Linked DNA regions of Schizosaccharomyces pombe. The protein of the gene in region 1 interacts with the protein of each later gene in a pairwise test. Each region holds a gene or a part of one and is shown on either strand. Other genes may lie near its edges.

Region 1 (10,016 bases):
TGAAATAGCATGTCTAAAACTATATAAAAAAATTTTTGGTATTTCGTGTCCAATTTACCATTAGAAAAATATATATATATATTTATATTTATATGCTATGGCTTGTTTATGAAAGCAGATTAGTATTTAAGAATTATTTATTTCGCAATAGGGAGTAAAAAAATTTTAAACCGAAAAGCAACTCATATGGTATTAGAAAAAATAAAATAAAATCGAACAAAGTCGTACACAATTTATATTTTCATGCTTACGTAGAGTTTATAAATATTTGTAGATCAAAACTAAGAGGTAAAAATATCCGATTTTTCTAAGGTGTAAGCAAATGGATTAATAAATGGTGTAAGCGAATTTATCTAGTACACACACTTTTCTTGGACTACAATATATAGATTATAATATATCGAAAAATATTCAGTTTCTTATTTTTGGGTATTTTCTATCAGAAATAACTTTAGTTGGTTTGTTTGAGCTTGCTCGCAACTTTTTAACTTACTGATACATAAAAGAACGGCATATGTTGACCAGTGAGGAACCGTATATTTATTCACGTTAATAATTATGGGAAAACCTTTAATTGCACTTGGATTAGAGGGTTCAGCAAACAAATTAGGCGTTGGTATTATTTTGCATGATACCAATGGATCGGCTAAAATATTAGCAAATGTCAGACACACTTATATCACTCCTCCCGGACAGGGATTCTTGCCCAGCGATACTGCTAAGCATCATCGTGCGTGGATAATCCCTTTAATTAAGCAAGCGTTTGCTGAGGCAAAAATTTCTTTTAAAGATATTGATTGCATTTGTTTCACAAAGGGGCCAGGAATCGGTGCTCCTCTGAATAGTGTAGCTCTTTGTGCTAGGATGTTATCACTAATTCACAAGAAACCTTTAGTAGCAGTTAATCATTGTATTGGTCACATTGAAATGGGTCGTGAAATTACGGGTGCACAAAATCCTGTCGTGCTTTATGTTTCTGGGGGAAACACTCAAGTAATTGCATACTCAGAGAAGAAGTATAGGATTTTTGGTGAAACGCTTGATATTGCTATAGGCAATTGTTTGGATCGATTTGCCAGAATCATTGGTTTGTCCAATGCACCTTCACCTGGTTACAATATTATGCAAGAAGCAAAAAAGTAAGACTCACTTTGATGTTTTATACTAATTTTTTCCTAGAGGCAAAAGATTTATAGAGTTACCCTATACTGTTAAAGGTATGGATTGTTCATTTTCCGGATTGTTGTCAGGGGTTGAAGCGGCAGCTACAGAGCTATTAGACCCAAAAAATCCGAGTTCTGTTACAAAGCAAGATCTTTGTTACTCTTTACAGGAAACTGGCTTTGCAATGCTAGTTGAAATTACAGAACGCGCGATGGCACATATCAGAGCTGATTCTGTTTTAATTGTTGGAGGTGTTGGATGCAATGAACGTCTCCAACAAATGATGGCTGAAATGAGTTCGGATAGAGGCGCTGATGTTTTTTCTACAGATGAACGTTTCTGTATTGATAATGGTATAATGATAGCCCAAGCAGGGTTGTTGGCTTATAAAACCGGGGACCGATGTGCCGTCGCAGAATCGACGATTACTCAAAGATATCGTACTGACGATGTTTATATATCATGGAGGGATTAATACTTATATTCATGAACAAGGATCAGATGAATTTTATTTTAGGCATTTATATATACATTCTTCATTATGAAGATCGTATCCAGTAAAATATTGAGTTTTTTGAAGTAGATTATCAAAATTCCAGTTGAGGTAAAATAGCTTTTTCACATAAATTGTCACTATTAAAAAACCTTTGGTTCTTTCTAATAATAACTTTAGCATTATTTGTCGTTGCAACCTGAGAACAATCCTTAATTGGAGAGCTATTCTCGTCAAATTTCGTTGCTATATCATTCTCATTTAACGTGAAAATCCATTTGTTTTTTTCTAATAATTTCAATAAATGAGAAACTATATTTGAAGACGAAAGAGTAGATAACGAGCCAAACATAATACATTTCACTTTCGCCCTGCTTAAAGCAACGTTCAAACGATGCCAATCGCGTAGCAATTCTCCAACCTAAATAAATGGTTAGCAGTTGTGTAAATAATTGGTTCAATACTCACTAAGTTTTTACTGTTGGATCTCACAAAAGATATTAAAATGATGTCCTTGTCTCTTCCTTGATAACGATCGACAGTGTTAATTTCTATTTCAGTGAATGATTTAAGATTCTTAGAAAGCAACTCCACCTGACTTTTGTAAATTGAAATTATCCCGATAGAACTTTGCTTAACGCCTCGTTCCAAGAAGGAGGAAACTGCTTGTTCTATCAAAAAAGCTTCAGTATGATTTTCTAGAATATTATTAGTTTTTGATTCAACTCCCAGAATATCATCGGTATTAAAAAATATGACTGAATGACTAGGATTGATTAACTTGTTGACCCAATGTAGGCTAGACGACGAATCGGGTAAACCATCACTTAGATGAGCTTTTGGCAAAATTAATTTTTTTTGGGATATCGTCTTGGACCCACACACCAAATTGCCGCCATAAATAAGTTCACTAGATAATGAATTAATGTCTTCATTCATACGATATTGTAGTCTTAAAGTGGTAACGGCTTCAGGATGCTTTTCTGATAGTAATTTAAATAGACTGAGCGACAAACCATCCTTAGATGTTCTTGAATTTTTTACTAAAGGAGGAAGTTGATAATGATCACCAACTAAAACAAATTTTTCAGCAAGCTGCAAAGGGCCTAAGCAAATTGGTAGAGGTATTTGGGATGCCTCATCAATTATACAATAATCGAATTTTCTTTTATTGAAAATGGAACTAATGTTGTTAGTAGTTTGTTCATTGCCGTCGCTTTCAATTACTTACTGATATACCCCTAGAGAAGAGCATGCAACTATTTGGGGGTCTTCGTAAAAATGTTTTAATGACGCTAAGTCGTCAAACGTCGTTCCTTCAGTCAAACAAAATTCTTTTACTAGGGGATGGATTTTATGAGGAGATCCTAAGCGGACGATTGTGCTATCACAACCCTTCAGTTTAATTAAAATGTTATCAACTGCTAAATGCGTAAAAGAAGTAAGAAGTATTTTCTTCTTTTTGGCAAGCAATGATCTGATTAAGCTAGAAATTGTAGTGGTTTTCCCCGTTCCAGGCATTCCGAGTATCAAACTATAATGTTCTGCAGCGTGGCATTTCTTTAAAGCTGTAATTTGATCTTCGTTTAAACATTTCAAAAATTCAGGATCGATTAATGCACTATTACAAAATTTTGGAGGCTTCAAACGGATAATCATGTCCCTTATAATTAAGGGAGCATCTGGTAATACAGAAGACATCAAGGTACCTCTTATTGATGCAATTCCGCTCGAAAATTCGTCCTTATCAATTCTGTACCTCGTATGGTTACTTCCGATAAATGACAATTTGGAATCTTCATAGTTACCAAAAAATACCTGGTTTTTTTTGAAATCAAAGTTAGGCATCTTTAGCCATGGAATATGAAGTCGATGACGAGTTCGTACTTCAATACATGAATCTTGAATATGGACTATGTGTCCTTTAGCTAGTGACCAGTGTCCATGTTCATCAGAAATAAATACTCGTTCACCAACGCTGAAGCCTGAGTGCAAGAAATTTCGAGGATAACCATTGTCATTTAAAAAAGCGAATTTGTAATGAAAAACCCTGTCATCAATTTCTAAACAAACGATATCCTCTTTAGTAATGTATAAAGGATACAGAGTTTTTCCATAAGCTTCTAGCTCTTCTGTATCAAAAGTCAACACATCGCCTCTTTTTAGTAGTAAGAGTCGTTCCTCTTGATTTAATAACTTCTCCCACTTCTTATAAAATTCAAGATCCTCATCTTTTACTTCGCGCATCCATTCATTCCATGACTCAGTCAAGCCGTTACTATTAGCTACTCCTTTATCACTCATCTTTTGAAAGAACAAACATTCAGAAACTAAACTGCAGTGATCGCAAATTTTTCGGTTCGAAATCATTTCAGGAAGGCTGCGCCTAAAGTTATGCTGTGCAAGAGAATTTCTTGTCATGATCAACCCTCGAAGTTGGGAGTTACTTGCAACCAAATTCTTGATAGTACTATTTTCCAAATAGCATAATAATGCCTGATTAGTATTGATACCATAACGATCTGAAATGAGTAATGTATAAAGCAAACTTTGAGCAAAATGGCTAATATTGTCGACATATCGGCCAGTTTTAAGCTCTAACGGAAGTGTGAGGGTTGACGAAGACTCAGGTTTTTCAGTTAAAACCACCTCAACTGTAGCATCGATATTACCTTTTAATCCAAATCTGGGTGACCATATGGATTCCTCAATATCGAGAAGCCTTGAAATGTGAATACTTTCATTGTTGTTGTCATTTTTTTTACTTATTAAATATCTTTCAACAATAGATTTAAGAAGGGGAAGCCTCGCATCAAGTTCCTCTCGAATTTCATCGAGCGACAAATCAGCAAAATAGATATCAGAGATGTATGTTTTTATTGATGTTTCAAGGTTGATATCAACATTTTCAAGGGCATCAATACCTCTGTATAATGCGTGTTGAAAAAAATCATGTAAAATGTTTCCAGTTACCATAGCTTTTGTAGGAGGTCCATAAATGCCAACCCTGTCAGATATTACGGCTTTCCTCAAACAAGGAAAAGAGCTGGCCACTGCCGTAGCAGACATTAAAATTTTCGGATGTATGATAATAAGTCCTTTATCGTTGTCAACGATAGCGGTATTATCTTTGTCAAATGTAGCTTCAACACGGATAGAATCCCCTACAAAAATACTAGTCTCAGTCCAATCACCGCGTAAAAATAACTGATGCAGTATATCATTTGCTTCCAAAATCAACTTTAATTGTCGAAAGTGATTCCCTTCATGAAAAATGAAGTCTTCGTGAACTTCTAATACTGTGTATTCGGAGGAAAACTCGCACAATTCACCAGGAGTGCATCCATCACACGAATCATCCCAATCATCGATAAAGTCGCTATTGATATCCGGCAATGAATTACAAGCTTTATCAAGAGCAAGGTTCACAGGTTCTTCATTTATTGTAGCATCAGATGCTTTTGTTGCTGAACAATAAGATTGCAAATCACCTCCCACATGGTTGACCTTAGCTGTCTTTTCTATGTCCTTTGCAGAAGCAGTTACTGTAGAATTAGGTAATTGTGAGTATTGGCGTTCAAGGGAATCTAATGCTGCCAGATCTTCAGCTTCTAAGGCAAAATCATCCTCGTCAATTTCGGTATCTGATCCTTTGAGAAGACAACTGGAATTTGCAGCAATTCTTGATTGCTCAGATGATCTTGCATTACGAATTATAGACACCAAGCTAGGGACTTTATGCAGGTTATTTCCTTGGTTTTTTACTTCATCATACGATCCGAAGCTTCTACTCTGGTTTTCCGAAACATTTGAACTCGACAAATTATTGTTTATCAGTGGCTTATTATCTGAAGCACATCGTCGTAATAGGACAGTTTCATCCGTATATAATGTAAACACATCAGATTTTGAGTTCGTTGACACTGGTTTCATATCTATAATCGTTGAGTCCGTCGTTTGATGATCCAGCAAATGTTGAGTAGAAGAGCTACGACACAAATCCTTCGAAGTTTCTTGAAAACATACTTCTAAAAGTTAAAATACACGTCTGAATACAAGAAAAATCATACCTGGCATGTCTTGGCTATTCAAGTCAGATTTCCGCGTGAAAGATTTGTCAGGCTTTAAATCGTCAGTAATTTCTTTATGAGCTTTAGTAAATGGGGAAAAAGATGTTGAGGATTCATTAAAAGTATTCTTTCGTTTAATTGGTAATGAAGAATGCTTTTTTTCAGAGATTTTAGGTGAACTAATTTCTGTAGATGCATTGTACGCAAAATTTTCCAGCTTCAATTTAGTTCTCCCATTTAGCAAATAGTTTTTCCTGAAAGGAGTTGAATTAGTTTTTTTTAAATTACCATGATTGTTGTCAGTAGTGGCACATATACCTTTCACAGATGAAGTTGTTTTCGACTGGTCGTTGAACATTATTAATTTACAAAAAAAGGAAGGCAATAAACATTAAAAAATAAAAAAGTTTGTTATAATTATACTCAAATAACCAGGCTAAAATTCAACCAGGTAATGAGCTTTGAAAAGAACGACTAAAACACGTGAAAAAGAATGATGATCAACGATGTAAATGCAAAGAAAAAATAAATAGAAATAAATTAAAATAAAGCCTTAACGACTGCGCTTATTCTCAAAATAATAGGCAATGCTCGTAAAATAGATATTTGGAGTATGGTTGTCGGAGGTTTCAGTTTTATAGATACTCGGTTCCCTAACGCCAACAATGCTAGTTAATTTATTTCCTTAGGTTTTCCGCAGTCATGTTCTCGATTGATTTTAAATAAAATTACACATGAATATGTGCCAGTAATCTTTACAATGAACCTTGTGAAGTCGTTCACAGGTAAATTGAACTAAAACCAAGTCCGATGAAAGCAAAATTATTGATTTTCCTTAATACATAATTAATAAATATTATCTGTATCGAAATTCGCTTCAACTCTTCTTAAGTATAAGCTTATTAACTGAATGACCGTTTGCATACAAAAGCGCAAACTGCGATTTAATTATAAAATAAAATTCCTTCTTAATTTTTTTAAAATTTATTTTTAAAATAGAAATGCATGTGTAAGCAAAAATTAATATAAATTTTTTAGGTTCGTTTGTTTGTTTACATTCCAAAAAGTTGACTTATTGGTTATTGTACTCTTCTCGTATTTAGAAGCAACCATCATTTGAATCGGGAAAAATCTTGATAAATTCATATATAATAGCATTAACGATCGCATTAATTTTAATAAAACTATTTTGAACAGGGCAGCTTCTTCACGTCAATTGAGGAAATACCATAAACGATGCGAAATAAGAATATTCTCGTCTTGAATTTGATATTAAGTATACCAAGGTTGGTCTTTACTGCTAAATATGATGAAAGAGAATCTTTATGGAATTTAAACCAAAATCAATCAGCTACCGATCCTCTAGATTATTGGGGAAAATGGGAAAACCATCAATACCATCCCAGTCCAGATGATTGGCAAGTGCCATTTTACACAGTTATTTTGGATAAATGGAAAGATGGTGATCCTAGAAATAATGAAGCTAACAATACTATTTATGAGTATGATATTTATGAAACTGGTTTTCGAAACGGAGGGGATATAATAGGCCTGAAAGACTCACTAGATTATTTGGAGATTATGGGAATAAAGGTAAGATAGAGTTATGCTTTTATGCTCGTTAACGAATAAGGTTATCTACATCGCCGGTACACCATTTTTAAATCAGCCATGGGGTGCTGATCAGTACTCACCACTGGACTACACCATCCTCGATCACCATTCTGGAACAATTGCACAATGGCGTGACACGATAGAAGAAATCCATCGTAGAGGGTTTTATTTAGTTCTGGACCTTACAATTTCTACGTTGGGAGATCTTATAGGGTTTCGGAAGTATCTGAACAGTACTACTCCATTTTCTTTATTTGAACATGAGGCGGTGTGGAAAAGCAACGTCATTTATCCAGACTGGAATTTCACAAATAAATATGACCCAAAGTGTGAGCTTCCCAGATTTTGGGGTGAAGATGGCGCGCCTGTTGTGATTGATTATGTTGGTTGTTATGATTCAGATTTCGATCAGTATGGCGATACAGAAGCCTTTGGTACTCATCCTGATTGGGAACGTCAGCTTTCAAAGTTTGCTTCTGTCCAAGATAGACTTAGAGAATGGAGGCCATCGGTTTCAGAAAAGTTAAAACACTTCGCATGTATGATCATTGCCATGTTAGATGTGGATGGTTTTCGTATTGATAAAGCTACTCAAATTACAGTTGATTTTCTTGCTTCATGGGCTCATTCTGTGAGGGGGTGTGCAGCAACGTTTAATAAAAAGAATTTTTTTATACCTGGTGAAGTAACTGGTTCTTCAAGTTATGGCTCAATTTATTACGGTCGTGGTCGTCAACCAGATCAACGTCCTCCGTCGATACTTACTTCACTTAATTCATCATCCCTTAAAGAAAACTACTTTCTGAGGGAACCTAAAGCGAATGCCCTAGATGCTTCTGCTTTTCACTATTCACTCTACCGTGCCATGACCAGATTTCTGCAAATGGACGGAGATCTGCAAGTTGGTCATGATCTTCCCGTAGATTTTACAGATTTGTGGAATGCTATGGCAGTTAATGAAGACTTTTATAATCCTAACACTCATAAAGTTGACCCGCGTCACATGCTAGGGATTACTAACCATGATGTTTTTAGATGGTCAGCAATTGAATTTGGATTAGAACGTTTGCTATTAGGAACCATGATAACGTACTTTCTTTTTCCAGGAGCACCCTCCATTTATTATGGTGATGAACAAGGATTCTATGTACTGGATAATACAGCAAACAATTATCTTTACGGTCGCCAAGCGATGCCTTCATCTATAGCATGGAAAGTTCATGGTTGTTATGCACTGGCATCTGATCAGTATCCAGAACTTCCTGTCATAAAGGCATATCAAGGGTGTAATGATGATTGGAATATAATGGACCACTTTGATTTTGCTAAACCCGAATTAAAAATGTTCAAGATATTCAACTTTATTAGGGAACAATACCCGGCCTTAAAATCTGGATGGAAATCAGTTAAACTAAGAAATTGGACTGAATATGTACATTTTCCTAATAGCGGAAAGACGCCTACGGAAGTTGGGGTTTGGAGTATAGTCCGCGGTGCTTTAGAGACGTTGCAGAATTTTGATGCCCGTAATAATACTGCTTGGAATGGAGACATTTGGATACTTTATACTAATCAAAATAGAACGACTACACTCGATTATCAATGCTCTTCCTCTAATTCCGTTGTGTCTCCATATGCTTCAGGTTTGACTCTCAAAAATTTAATCTATCCTTTCGAAGAATATATACTTCAGGAATCAAACAAATATTCTTCTAATCTAAAGTCCTACTATGGGTGTATTCCTAATATAGAATTCCCACCCTGGGGATTTAAAATACTTATTCCTAAAAAATATTACGTCCGATACCCACCACAAATTACTTCTTTTAATCCCCAACATGACTCGAGAATATACAATCATAATGGAAAACAAAAGCTTGTTATATCATTTACTGAAACGATGGATTGTAATGAAATAACATCCAAATTGCAATTCAGTTCGAAAACAGAAAGTGGTAAAGTCATGAAAGTTGATAAAGAAACTGTGAAATGCTCAGTTTCAAATAATTCTGCAGATAGTTACTATTTTGGACTTGCGCCAGCTCGATTTCACTGGTCAGGCGACTTAATTAACATTGCTGATGGGATTCATGAAATAAAGCTCCAACGGGTTCATTCACAAGATCATCAAAGTATGAGTGATTCCATGTATAAACTCTTATTAAGATTTGGTAAATTGGATAATCCAATGGTATTCTCAACTGCCAATCGATCTTCTAGTATATTATCACAAGAAAATGAGAAGTTATATATAAACCACAAAGCCCCAGGTGCTGATCTATTCCGATTTTCGTTCGATTATGGACTTCATTGGAGTGAATGGATCGATTACTTGTCAAATAAAACTGAGTGTACTGAGTTTGCTAATAACATTAGCCTGAAAACCTGGAAAGGTCATCATGTTATTGTTCAATACTGGAGTCGTTTGACGGCATCTGCGAATTACATTCAAGAAGGTGGGCTAGGTAGCTTGAGTTCATTTCCTCATTTATATATGAATGGACCTTATAATCAATGGGGATTTGATTCTGGTATACCCAATCGCTTAATATACAAAAATTGCTCATGGCACAAGACCTTTATAAGTGATGTTTTTCCTACGAAGTTTCAGTTTAATGTGTACAACTTTGATGAATCTGGGATGCCTGACCAAAAGAAAGTTTATGGTACTATTG
Region 2 (5,890 bases), on another chromosome or scaffold:
TCACCGAATACAAATAATCCTCATTCACATTGACCGGTTCAGATTGACCGTCATTTTCTACAGCCTTTAAATAACTTTTTTCGATGTGCTCCGAGTCTTCAGCTGAAAAAGGTAAAAAATTTTTTGCTTTTTTAATTTCCGTCGGTCCCGTTCTTGATTTCCTAAGCGGTCTATCTACCGCATAGAACCAACGTACCCGCAATGAAGGAGCATCTGTCACAGATCTCGATAGCAAATGACGAAATGACAATTTGGGCGGTTGCACATGTTTCAATGGCCATTCTTCTGAATTATTCATAGCAATTAATGGCTTTAAAGCCAATATTGTAATTTCTTCTTGGTGTTTGCTACAGTGACATAAAATGTATATGGACGGTAATGAACACCAAGCATTCGTAATCCACTGTAAGGAGGAATATGACGGCAAAATAGAGTAAGGCTTGGTACGAACGTAAAATGGTAATACAATGTATAAAATCATATAAAAAGGATAATAAAAAGGGATAAATAAGATTCAAATTTTCAATCTAATGTTATAATTTGGAAATTCAATGTTGTTTATTATTAATTTTTTTTTAGCCACAGGGGATTACAATTAGAAAAAAATAAATAGTAGTAAGCTAGAGAAATAGCCATCAGCTAGAGCATAAACTCAATTTGTCTGTCTCTTTAACATAATTCATATTAGCCTCTTTGGGCAAATTTTAGCCGAACATTACCCTTTATTATGACAGTAGCTCTCAGCAGTAACTCTCAGCTACAAACTTAATAATCTTCGGCAGCTGGGGACCCTTCTTTTTCCTTTTGACTGTAAGCCACCTGCGAACGATAGAATTCTGAAACCTGTTCACTTGTTGTAGCATCCTCCCAGCTCTTGTCTTCCCGAATACGAATGAATCTTGGAAAACGTAAACTGATTCCTTTGTCCTCTTGAACATATCCAATTGCAGCTTTGTAAACCGGAGACAAAGATAAATCGGCAGCTAAGACTTCCCACAAGTACTTAGGCTCAAACCAGACGTCAGGCTGATGCGCAGGTACATCGCTATGAGCATAAAAATCTTTCTTTTTAGATATAACAATGTCTTTAAGTTGATTGTAAAAAGTTTCTAAATGCTCCTCTGAAAAACCAGTCCCGAGTTTGCAAATCGATTGAACTGTTTCGGTATCTGGATCGTAGCAGCCCAAAAGAAAGGCACCATAAACAGAAGTACGTTTACCCTTTCCGTAGTATGCGCCAATTACAATCAAATCCAGAGAATCTCCAACACCAGAAAGATAGTCTTTTTTAACTTTTAGCCAATGCCTGGAACGTTTTGACGGTTCATAATGAGAATCCGGGCCTTCAAGCATTTTGACCATTAAACCCTCACAAGAATCTTTGACAGATTCTTCAAGGAATTCTTCAATGGATTCAATAGACTTTTGATCGCTATGTTTAGCAAAAGTAAAGTCTCCAGTACTTGGTTGAAACATTGAGTAAAGTAGTTTTCGACGCTCGTTGAGTGGGGTTTCCAAAAGAGGTTGCCCATTTAGGTATAAAATGTCAAAAGCGAAAAGGCATGCTCGGACCTTAATGTCCCCAATTTTCACATCTTTCCTCTTTCTTGTTGCAAGTTTTTGAAAAGGTAAAATTTTGTTTTCATCACGGTCCCAACCGACAGCTTCGCAATCGAGAATAAAAGAACGAGCATCTGGTTTTTTCCACTTCGATACAGAAACAGAGATGTCCGGATAGCGAACAGACATGTTTTCAGAATTCCTAGAAAATACATAAAACTTCCCATCTTCGGTAAAATGAACTTGGGCGCGCTCGCCATCGTATTTGTATTCACATGTAAATGCGGCTTGATCAAACGTATTCAAAACTTCTGAAATTTGTTTCGTCGGCTTAGCCAGCATGGGTTTTGTTGGGATTCCAGGTGTTAATTTACAAGTTTCACGCAAAGTACCAAGTCCATGCTCAATCAAGTGAGGAACGATAAGGTCGTATGAAGGCAGTTGACAGTAAACATCTCGAAGAATCTGCTCTCCTTCAATCCTGTCTTGTTGCGAAAGTTTTTCTCCATTCTTATCAGCATGATATTGAGCGGTGGCATTTGCTAATGCTACTAAAATGGTTTTTTCGGCAAGTTGGAGGCGTAGCTTGCCTTCCAAAGCTCGAATCAAATATTTAGGTTCTGCACCTTCACAGGAACTCAATAGCCGCTTGATCACTCCAATTTTTCTATTTTGGGATTGGTTTCCGCTCATTTGAGCAATTTTTTTTAATGAGTCAAATAAAAATGGAATTGTCAGCGCTGCAGGTTTAAACATAGTGGGTTGATTTTGACGGGATGTTTGAGCTACAAGACCAAGATCACCAACTTTGTGAAACGATAGTTTAATCTGTTGAAGCGTTTGCCCTGTAGACTCTCCAATAGCCTTCATTATAATGCTTTCGCCAATTCCTAGCTCTAGTCCCGAGTAATCTGGGCCCAACTAATGTAAAAAAAGACGTTAGTACTGAGAAGGAGAAATCCTTTAAAACCAAACGTTCATACCTTATTGATACTTAAATACACACAGGCCAGTAAATCGCTGGGATGGTCGCGAAGAATTCCAAAAAAGTAAGTCCCCATTATATCAATGATTTCCAACCGTTTGCTAGTATTCTCTATTTTTGTGAATGCTTTTACCATTTCAGCAAATGTTGCATGACCTTTTAACTTATCATTGCGAGCATTGGACTCTAACGGTGGTTCTTTGATTGGCAAAGGTATTGGAGTAGATGCCCCAGAATCGTTGTTACTAGATACGGCATCTGAAGAAGAGGAGGATGAACCTAAAGTCTTTTGCTTTTTTGCCTCAGACACAATATTATTTTCACGCTCAACATTTTGAGTTCCAGTGTCGTCGTGGTTGTTGTGTTTCGACTCGTCGACTAATTTCACTGATTCGACCTTTCTCTTTTCGCTTGTGCTTCTCCCATCAACATTTTTGGAATCAGAAGACGATTGAGAAACCTCCACGTGCTCGCTTTTGTGCGAAGCAGAAGAAATGAAGAAGTTGCTATATGGGTTAGTCAACGTCTGTCTTCTATCTAACAAACCTAATGTCTGACTGCCTTGTCGACATCCGTATGTACTGATTGACTTGTTTAAAACGAGGAATTTGCGAAAATACTGTTCGCATAACAATCAAGTCAACGAGTAAAGAATTTCATAAGATTTGACAATAGTGAGGGTACACCTGAAGAACAAGTAACACGTGTACGATATTTGTAGTTTAAGGACAGTGAAAACGAAACCATTTTTTTCTAAGTCTATATAGATGAAATTAATTTTTATGATTATAACAGGATAATATAAAAGCTATTTATCATTGATATAGTATGAGTGTTCCTTGTCTCATTCATAAATACTATTGACTTAATCAACTCTCTCCCAACGCTCTGTACATCATAAATACAGCTAGAAAAAATGAGAAGTTGAATTGTATAGAAATGCTTTAGTCATACCAGAAATGAACAATTGCCTGTATCAACGAACGTAATAGAAACAATTTGGAAATACATTGCTAGAAGTTTATCAACTAGATTCTAACCATTTAAAAAAAAAAGAAATTTAAATCAACAAAAATTAAAATAAATTCCTAATAGGCTTATTCGCTAATGTGTAGTGGTTTGTAGTTTTTTTGCAAAAAGCTGTTCGCACTTGTTTTTCAAGTGGATTTTGTCCTTAAATTTTTAAAATTTTTCTTTTTCAAATTTTTTATGAAATGTTAATTCGAAAGCAAAAACTATCATAAAATTGTTTATAACCATCGCTTTATTTACAAAACTCATAGTCAAATTTCGACAGCCCGGCATTACTAAAAAAACATGTTACCTGTTACAGGTAACATTCAATATAAACATTCAATTTTTGATTTTTGTTCTTTCTCAGAGAATATACCTCTGCTAGCACTTGGAGAAATTTTTTCGGTTCTGAAATCTTTGTTTTCGTTGAAATCTTATTAGAACCAAGTTCTCCATTTTATATAAATTAACACTTCTTGTCTCTAGGTGGATAAAGAAACGGATTGACGATTCTGTTCTGATCCTTAAATCCATATTTTTATTTTTTGGTTCTGTTTATTTTTTCTTGGGTTTGTTGTGTTTGGAAAAAAACTGGTGTTTAAATATATTAAGCATAAACTATTATAAAACTTCATTTTATTATTTTATCATTCATATTTTTTTCAATTTCGTTTTGAAAATTTTTTATTTAAGCCGAATTCTATTAAAAATACTAAAATGTATCAACGATCTTTGTTTCGCGGTGTCGCTCAGGGTTTAAAGCGCTCCTCTGTACGTTTTCAATCTACCAGCTCTGGCTCTTCAAATGGCAATTTCTTTCTCCGTCATTGGAAGCTTTTGAGTGTTATTGGTAGTTTTACTGCCGGCGTTGCCATTTACGACATGTCCGATGTTCGTAGTTTTATCCATGGCCGCATTGAAATGCCTCTCTTTCATGCTTTCACCACTCCTGAGTTTTCTCATCGTGTCGCCATTCTCGCTGCCTCTTGGGGTATAACACCGAAGGATCGTGTAGCTGATGATCCATCTCTTGCCGTTGAAGTTTGGGGTAAGAAATTTTGCAATCCCATTGGTCTAGCTGCTGGTTTCGATAAACAAGCCGATGCTATCTCAGGTTTGTTGAACTTCGGGTTTTCCTATCTTGAAATTGGCTCGGTCACACCTAAACCTCAACCTGGTAATCCTAAACCACGCTATTTCCGCCTTAAGCCTGATTTGTCTGTAATCAATCGTTACGGTTTTAATTCTATCGGCCATGATGCCATCCTTGCTAAGATTCAAAAGCGCGTTCGCAAATACATTGCTAAGACATCTCCTCAACTATTAAAACAGTTTGATGCAAATCCCGCTTCTTGCACTGATCCCGCTGTCCTTGGCGTACCTCGTAGTTTAATTCCTAACAAGTTCCTTGGTATCAATTTAGGCAAGAATAAGAACGGTAACGAGATTGAGGATTATGTTGAAGGTGTTCGTACCTTTGGTAACTTCGCTGACATTCTTGTCATTAACGTTTCCTCTCCTAATACCCCTGGTCTTCGTAACCTACAAAAGAAATCTGCCCTCTCAACTTTATTGACTGCTGTTGTCAGTGAGCGCAATAAATTGAACTCTCCTCATCCTCCCGTACTTGTAAAAATTGCACCTGATTTGAACGAAGAAGAACTCACGGACATTGCCGATGTCCTCAAAAAGTGCAAGATTGACGGTGTGATCGTTGGTAATACTACCGTTCAACGCCCTAAGACCCTCAAATCAACTAGCCATGTTGAAGAGACGGGTGGTCTTTCTGGACCTCCTCTCAAACCTATCGCATTAAATACTCTTCGCACACTTCGTAAGCATCTTTCTTCCGATATTCCCATCATCGGCTGTGGTGGTATTTCTTCTGGCAAAGATGCTATTGAGTATGCTCGTGCTGGTGCAACTATGGTTCAAGTTTATACTGCTTTGGGATATGATGGTCCTGTAATTGCTCACAAGATTAAGCAAGAGATTCTTGCCGAGCTTAAGGGCAAACGTTGGGTTGACATAATTGGCAAGGAAGAATAGATTGGGATGTCAGTATATTTCTTTTAAAGAAAAAATTCAGTGTCGTTTACTGGTACATTATTATAGTAAAAATTTAACATATTATAGAAAATAATACTCACGTTCTTCTAATTAAATATTATAAATGAATTACCTTTTGTTTTGCATACCTAAGTTTGCTTGTGAAACTATTATGTCGCTAGTTTAATTCTATTATGAAATTAGTCATTCAGGCATTTCTTAGTAATCTCGTAAATCCTGCCAGTCTTGCTTGTCTTACATTTGTGAATACCTATTTACTTA
Region 3 (4,436 bases), on another chromosome or scaffold:
TCTTTAGGTGTGCTACTTTCTCGATTGCAATCGAAGAAACTGTTCATTTCCAATGAAATACAGAAGCAATGGCATAAAAAGGATGATTTTACAGAATACGAAGATATTGTACACGAACTTATAGAACTTCCTGTTGTTTGCGCGCAAAGCATAGATGGTGGGTGTGTTTACGAGGTTATTAATCTTGTTCAGTCTGTTTTAAGAAGAGTCACTAAGCTTTTTCAATTGAAAGAACCTTGGAAATTATCAGATGATTCTCAAGAAAAGATTGACACTTTAATGTTAGTAGCTCACAGCCTACGCATTAGCGGAATTCTCCTACAACCTATAATGCCAACCAAGTCGACTGAGTTATTAGACCAATTAGGAATTCCTAAAAACCAGCGCTCCCTACAGAATGCAACTAACGTTTTTGAACCTACGGAGTTCACGTTCCACAGTGGTAATAATTCTCATTTGTTTGACAAAAGAACTCAATGAGACGTGTAGATCAGATAATTATGATGACAACAGTAAGAAAAAACTTATTTATTTAATAAATACATGATTAAATATTCAAGATATTTTGCATTAAGAAGTAATTGGAGTCTCTGCTTTGACTGACATGGGGCGGAATTGAATAATTTCTACGTTGAGCGTATGCATATTTATGAGAACAAGTACACCAGTCTTACGAAATTCGGGAACGGAAACCAATTGTATTCTGTTTCCCTCATTAATGACTGTTTTGCAGCCAAATTTCGGTTGATTACCACAAAGATATAGATCAGGCATTTCCTCCATTACAAATGTATCTTTGTCGGTGAAAGGATAGCACCCTAAAATCATTAGCAAATATATCGTTTGAAAAATGTACAGATTACTTACATAAGGTATCAGGGCTGGTAGGTGTGATATGATTCCATAGTAAAGTGTTTTCCATGCATTGAAGTGAAGATTTTTTGGGATGATATTTTCGGAGATCATTAATGTTTTGGCCGCTAGTAGCCAACACAAAATGATTGCCAAGAGAAAGCCAAGTGGGATTCGTAACTGTTTGTAAAGAAGATCCCAACCAAACTTTTGATTTAGTAAGTAAAGCGGGATGCAAAGGCTGTTGAGGAAGGATAGTTGAACTGTAATCATAAGGACCAGGCATTAAAGTGACATCTATGCTGGAACACACTTGATCAAGAAAATTATCTAGTTGGAAGGTGGGATTTGGATTGTAAGCAGACGTGTCATAGCCATATCTTTTTACTTTTTTCTTGCCAATGGGCACGGACGCAGAAGCGGAGTCGGCAATTTCTATAGAAGGTGCTAAGCAATTTCCGAGAATAATTAGCCTTTTGATGGAGGAAGGGGAAAAGGAAGAGACATGTGGAAGTGTTCCTCTTAGGAAATCTACAAGCTGATGAACTTGAATGCCTTCTATGCCGTCATTTGAGAGACCTAAGCCACTGACTGCCGCAATGTACTCTGGTTGAGCTTGCGATTCATCTGTAGTCATTGGAATGGAATGAGAGAAGATGCCTGGAAAACAAACGTCAACGACAACGAAACGACCTTGTTCATCTTCATGGCCCAAAACTGCAAGAACAACTCCTGTAACAACGCCAGCGTCATACAAAAAGCTTCCGCTACAATCTATACGGCCATAGTCATCCTCAAGAGCATATTCTATATCACCTGAAGCAGCATCTTCTGGGCTAACATACGGAGATTCTTCAGTAGTGGTGACAATTGTATGAAGTTGTGTGACATCGTTCATAACGTTTGGCTTAAGAGCTGTAGTCATATAAGCGGTAGCGACAACCCAACAGTCTTCATCTGACTTAACATCTAAAACGCGTTCCAATCGCTGTTTATCCGGCCATTTTTTTGAAGCGGCTTCTGTGATTCTGGGTCGAAGAGCGGTAAGTCGGGCGAAATAGATGCTGGCGTACTGTTGACTATACGTTTGCTGACTTAAACTAAGCTCCAAGCGTTTAGTTTCTTCACAAGGAATTGAATGTCTGACTTCAACCATGATTATTTTGTAAATATATACAGTTAGGTAAGTTAAACACTTACCAAAGGAGTAGTCAGGATATTAAATCGAGATGCTCCACGAAAAATTTCACAACAATGGAGAGTGAAGAGTTGTCTACGATTCATGCAATTACTAAAACGAGCGAGTATTGCAAGTAAATGTGCGGAAAAAAATATATATATATATATATATATATTTATATGATTTCCCAAAAAACCTATGAACGGCCCCAAAACACCTGTTTAAAAAAAAGAGGAATAAATATAATAACGCTTTTGTTGTTTTTTCAATAAAATCAGTTCTTTAAATGTTATTGACTAATTTACACAAGCAGCATATGTAAAGAGTAAGGAACTTCAAAGGTGTGCTATGCAAGGTTAAGGGGAATCAATTTCATGGAATGGAACCAGGTTTAGAAGGTTCGAATAAGCAAAGGAGTTGGATGCAGCAGATCAACAAGTAAGAATACGTTGTATATGAGAAAGTCGTGGTTCCTAACATGACTAGCTGTTGTTACCTACAACAATAAAGTGTTTGAAGAACATCTTTTTTTAAATGTAAACAAAGAGGTAAACTTGACGAAAAGAGAAAGAAGCTCAATAAAGGTGAATGTTTACTAATTGAGGATGAACAAACATCATGTGGGTTTATTTCGTTTCATACAATTAACATTTTTCTCAACCTTGAACAATCATGATGAATCCATATATTTAGTCTATCGAGTTTTATCACACAAAAGTAAAAGAAGCAAATTCCCCAACGAAGTAAATGAACTACAAACCCTTTCCTATAGCATAAAAAGTGGGTTTTCGATTTATTTGATGATTGTAAATTAATAACATTATGTTAATTAATAGGAGGAAAGGTAGGCCAACATAGTGCCCTAGAAATGGTTAAGGTGATTTCTGTATCTTACTATATTACTTATTAAAGATGTATATCAAAACTACATTAATTTAAATTGAGGTTTTATTTTATTCCGTTGAAATCTGAATATTAAATAACGCAATGTTGATCGGTCACACTATTACCCCATATGGAAAAGTATTGTAGAAGGAAAAGCAAGAATAGCAAAACCAAATTCAAATGTTTAAAGTAAAATGAAAAACTTGCCGATTTTCTTCTTCTTCAAAGATATCAATACATCCTTTATAAAAAAGCCGCTTGTCACGAGAGGTCAATGAAGCGGTATTGCCTGTTGTCCGATATCAGAGAGCTAGCTATAAATAGACTGTGGACTGTTAACATTCAGTATCGGCTACAGCTGCGGGATATCGAACACAGGGATAATCGAGTATACTGAGATGAATCAATGTTGCACGATTTAAAAAGGTTTTAACGACTCATAAACTTGTGTACCAAAAAAAATAAGAATCTCTATGTTAGAGAATAATAATTACTTGCATAGCCAGCCAGTTGTGTTTTAGTTGTTAATATACTAAATAGAAATAACTTGGCAACTTGAATGAAATGGAAATAAAATCTTATTGTGTGTGATTAATGCAGTAAAACATAAAAAAAATGAGAAACTGTTTACGTATTAAAAGGTCATACGGTTTAAAAACGGTTGAAAGTTTGATAAATTGAAGATCGAAAATTACGATGAGATCTTTTGCTTAATGCACTTGTATAGTCAACATTTCACACAGTTACATTTTCACATTCGCCGGAATGTCGAATTGTTTAAAAAACTTTTACTTTATAGTGTCTTGCAAGAAGGACCTGCCTGCATACTGTAAAAATTTCACTTTCGCACTGCTAGAGTTTGGAACAAACGAGCCAATAACGGTTCTGCGGACAGTTGTCGGTTTCCGCTTCCCCTGAGGTTAAACTAAAGCAGTAGAGGGATTTTGTGGGATCGGAGTTTGAGAATCCATGTTTTATATAAAAATTTCAGAGTTTTGTTGCTTTTTGTTTGTGCTCATCTGCCCCGATTTTTTTCCAAACAGTAAGTAACAAATCGATGCTGCTAAAATATTGATACTCACTGGATACCTTGTAGGGAGCTTGAAGCAATAGTTGTGCAATGATTGTGAAAGTCAATTTGGCAGAATGATGGGGCCTCGTGGTTGCTTGGTTAACGAATTAATAGAAAGCAACAAATCATTCAGATAAACCGGAAGAGACATAGATGGATATGAATTGTTCTTGTTCCTATATGTGCGTGCGATACATTACCGAAATTCTCTTCACTTCCGTATTCTCTCACTGCATGTTTGCGGAAAGTCAACGGACCAAATAAAAAAGTACATCGAGCTCCTTGTTAAACATTGGGACAACCGTCTAGGCTCGATCACGGATGTTAAAGCAGTCCTCACGCTGAACTTGTTTGGATTGGTGTGTGAAATGCAAGAGACAGGAGAAAAGAAATGAGGTTACGGAGAGTAAGCAAGTCCCAGAATTCCCGAAAAGCAAATTCCAATCT

Evidence for each region. The genes of interacting proteins can lie anywhere in the genome.
Region 2: the proteins of dna2 (region 1) and cdc17 interact in a two-hybrid assay, tested with the Schizosaccharomyces pombe proteins (one study listed by BioGRID).
Region 3: the proteins of dna2 (region 1) and cdc1 interact in a two-hybrid assay, tested with the Schizosaccharomyces pombe proteins (one study listed by BioGRID).

Annotation. Positions count from the first base shown.
Region 1 is NC_003423.3:3,590,608-3,600,623, forward strand, and holds dna2 (DNA replication endonuclease-helicase Dna2), read right to left. Parts: upstream 6,350-10,016; 5' UTR 6,086-6,349; coding exon 5,728-6,085; exon of another isoform or gene 5,683-5,727; coding exon 2,889-5,682; intron 2,841-2,888; coding exon 2,126-2,840; exon of another isoform or gene 2,104-2,125; intron 2,079-2,103; coding exon 1,752-2,078; 3' UTR 1,684-1,751; downstream 1-1,683. Other genes in the region: kae1 (EKC/KEOPS complex N(6)-L-threonylcarbamoyladenine synthase subunit), read left to right, coding at 559-1,139, 1,180-1,639; cell wall alpha-1,3-glucan synthase Mok13, read left to right, coding at 6,964-7,320, 7,361-10,016. UniProt on the Schizosaccharomyces pombe protein: Key enzyme involved in DNA replication and DNA repair.
Region 2 is NC_003424.3:1,385,228-1,391,117, reverse strand, and holds cdc17 (ATP-dependent DNA replication ligase Cdc17), read right to left. Parts: upstream 3,234-5,890; 5' UTR 3,175-3,233; coding exon 3,092-3,174; exon of another isoform or gene 3,052-3,091; coding exon 2,544-3,051; exon of another isoform or gene 2,482-2,543; coding exon 766-2,481; 3' UTR 501-765; downstream 1-500. Other genes in the region: SPOM_SPAC20G8.02 (DDHD family phospholipase), read right to left, coding at 1-481; mitochondrial dihydroorotate dehydrogenase Ura3, read left to right, coding at 4,277-5,608. UniProt on the Schizosaccharomyces pombe protein: DNA ligase that seals nicks in double-stranded DNA during DNA replication, DNA recombination and DNA repair.
Region 3 is NC_003424.3:4,012,622-4,017,057, reverse strand, and holds cdc1 (DNA polymerase delta small subunit Cdc1), read right to left. Parts: upstream 2,009-4,436; coding exon 868-2,008; exon of another isoform or gene 819-867; coding exon 571-818; 3' UTR 501-570; downstream 1-500. Other genes in the region: msm1 (methionine--tRNA (Met) ligase), read left to right, coding at 1-480; SPOM_SPAC27E2.14 (uncharacterized protein), read left to right, coding at 4,381-4,395.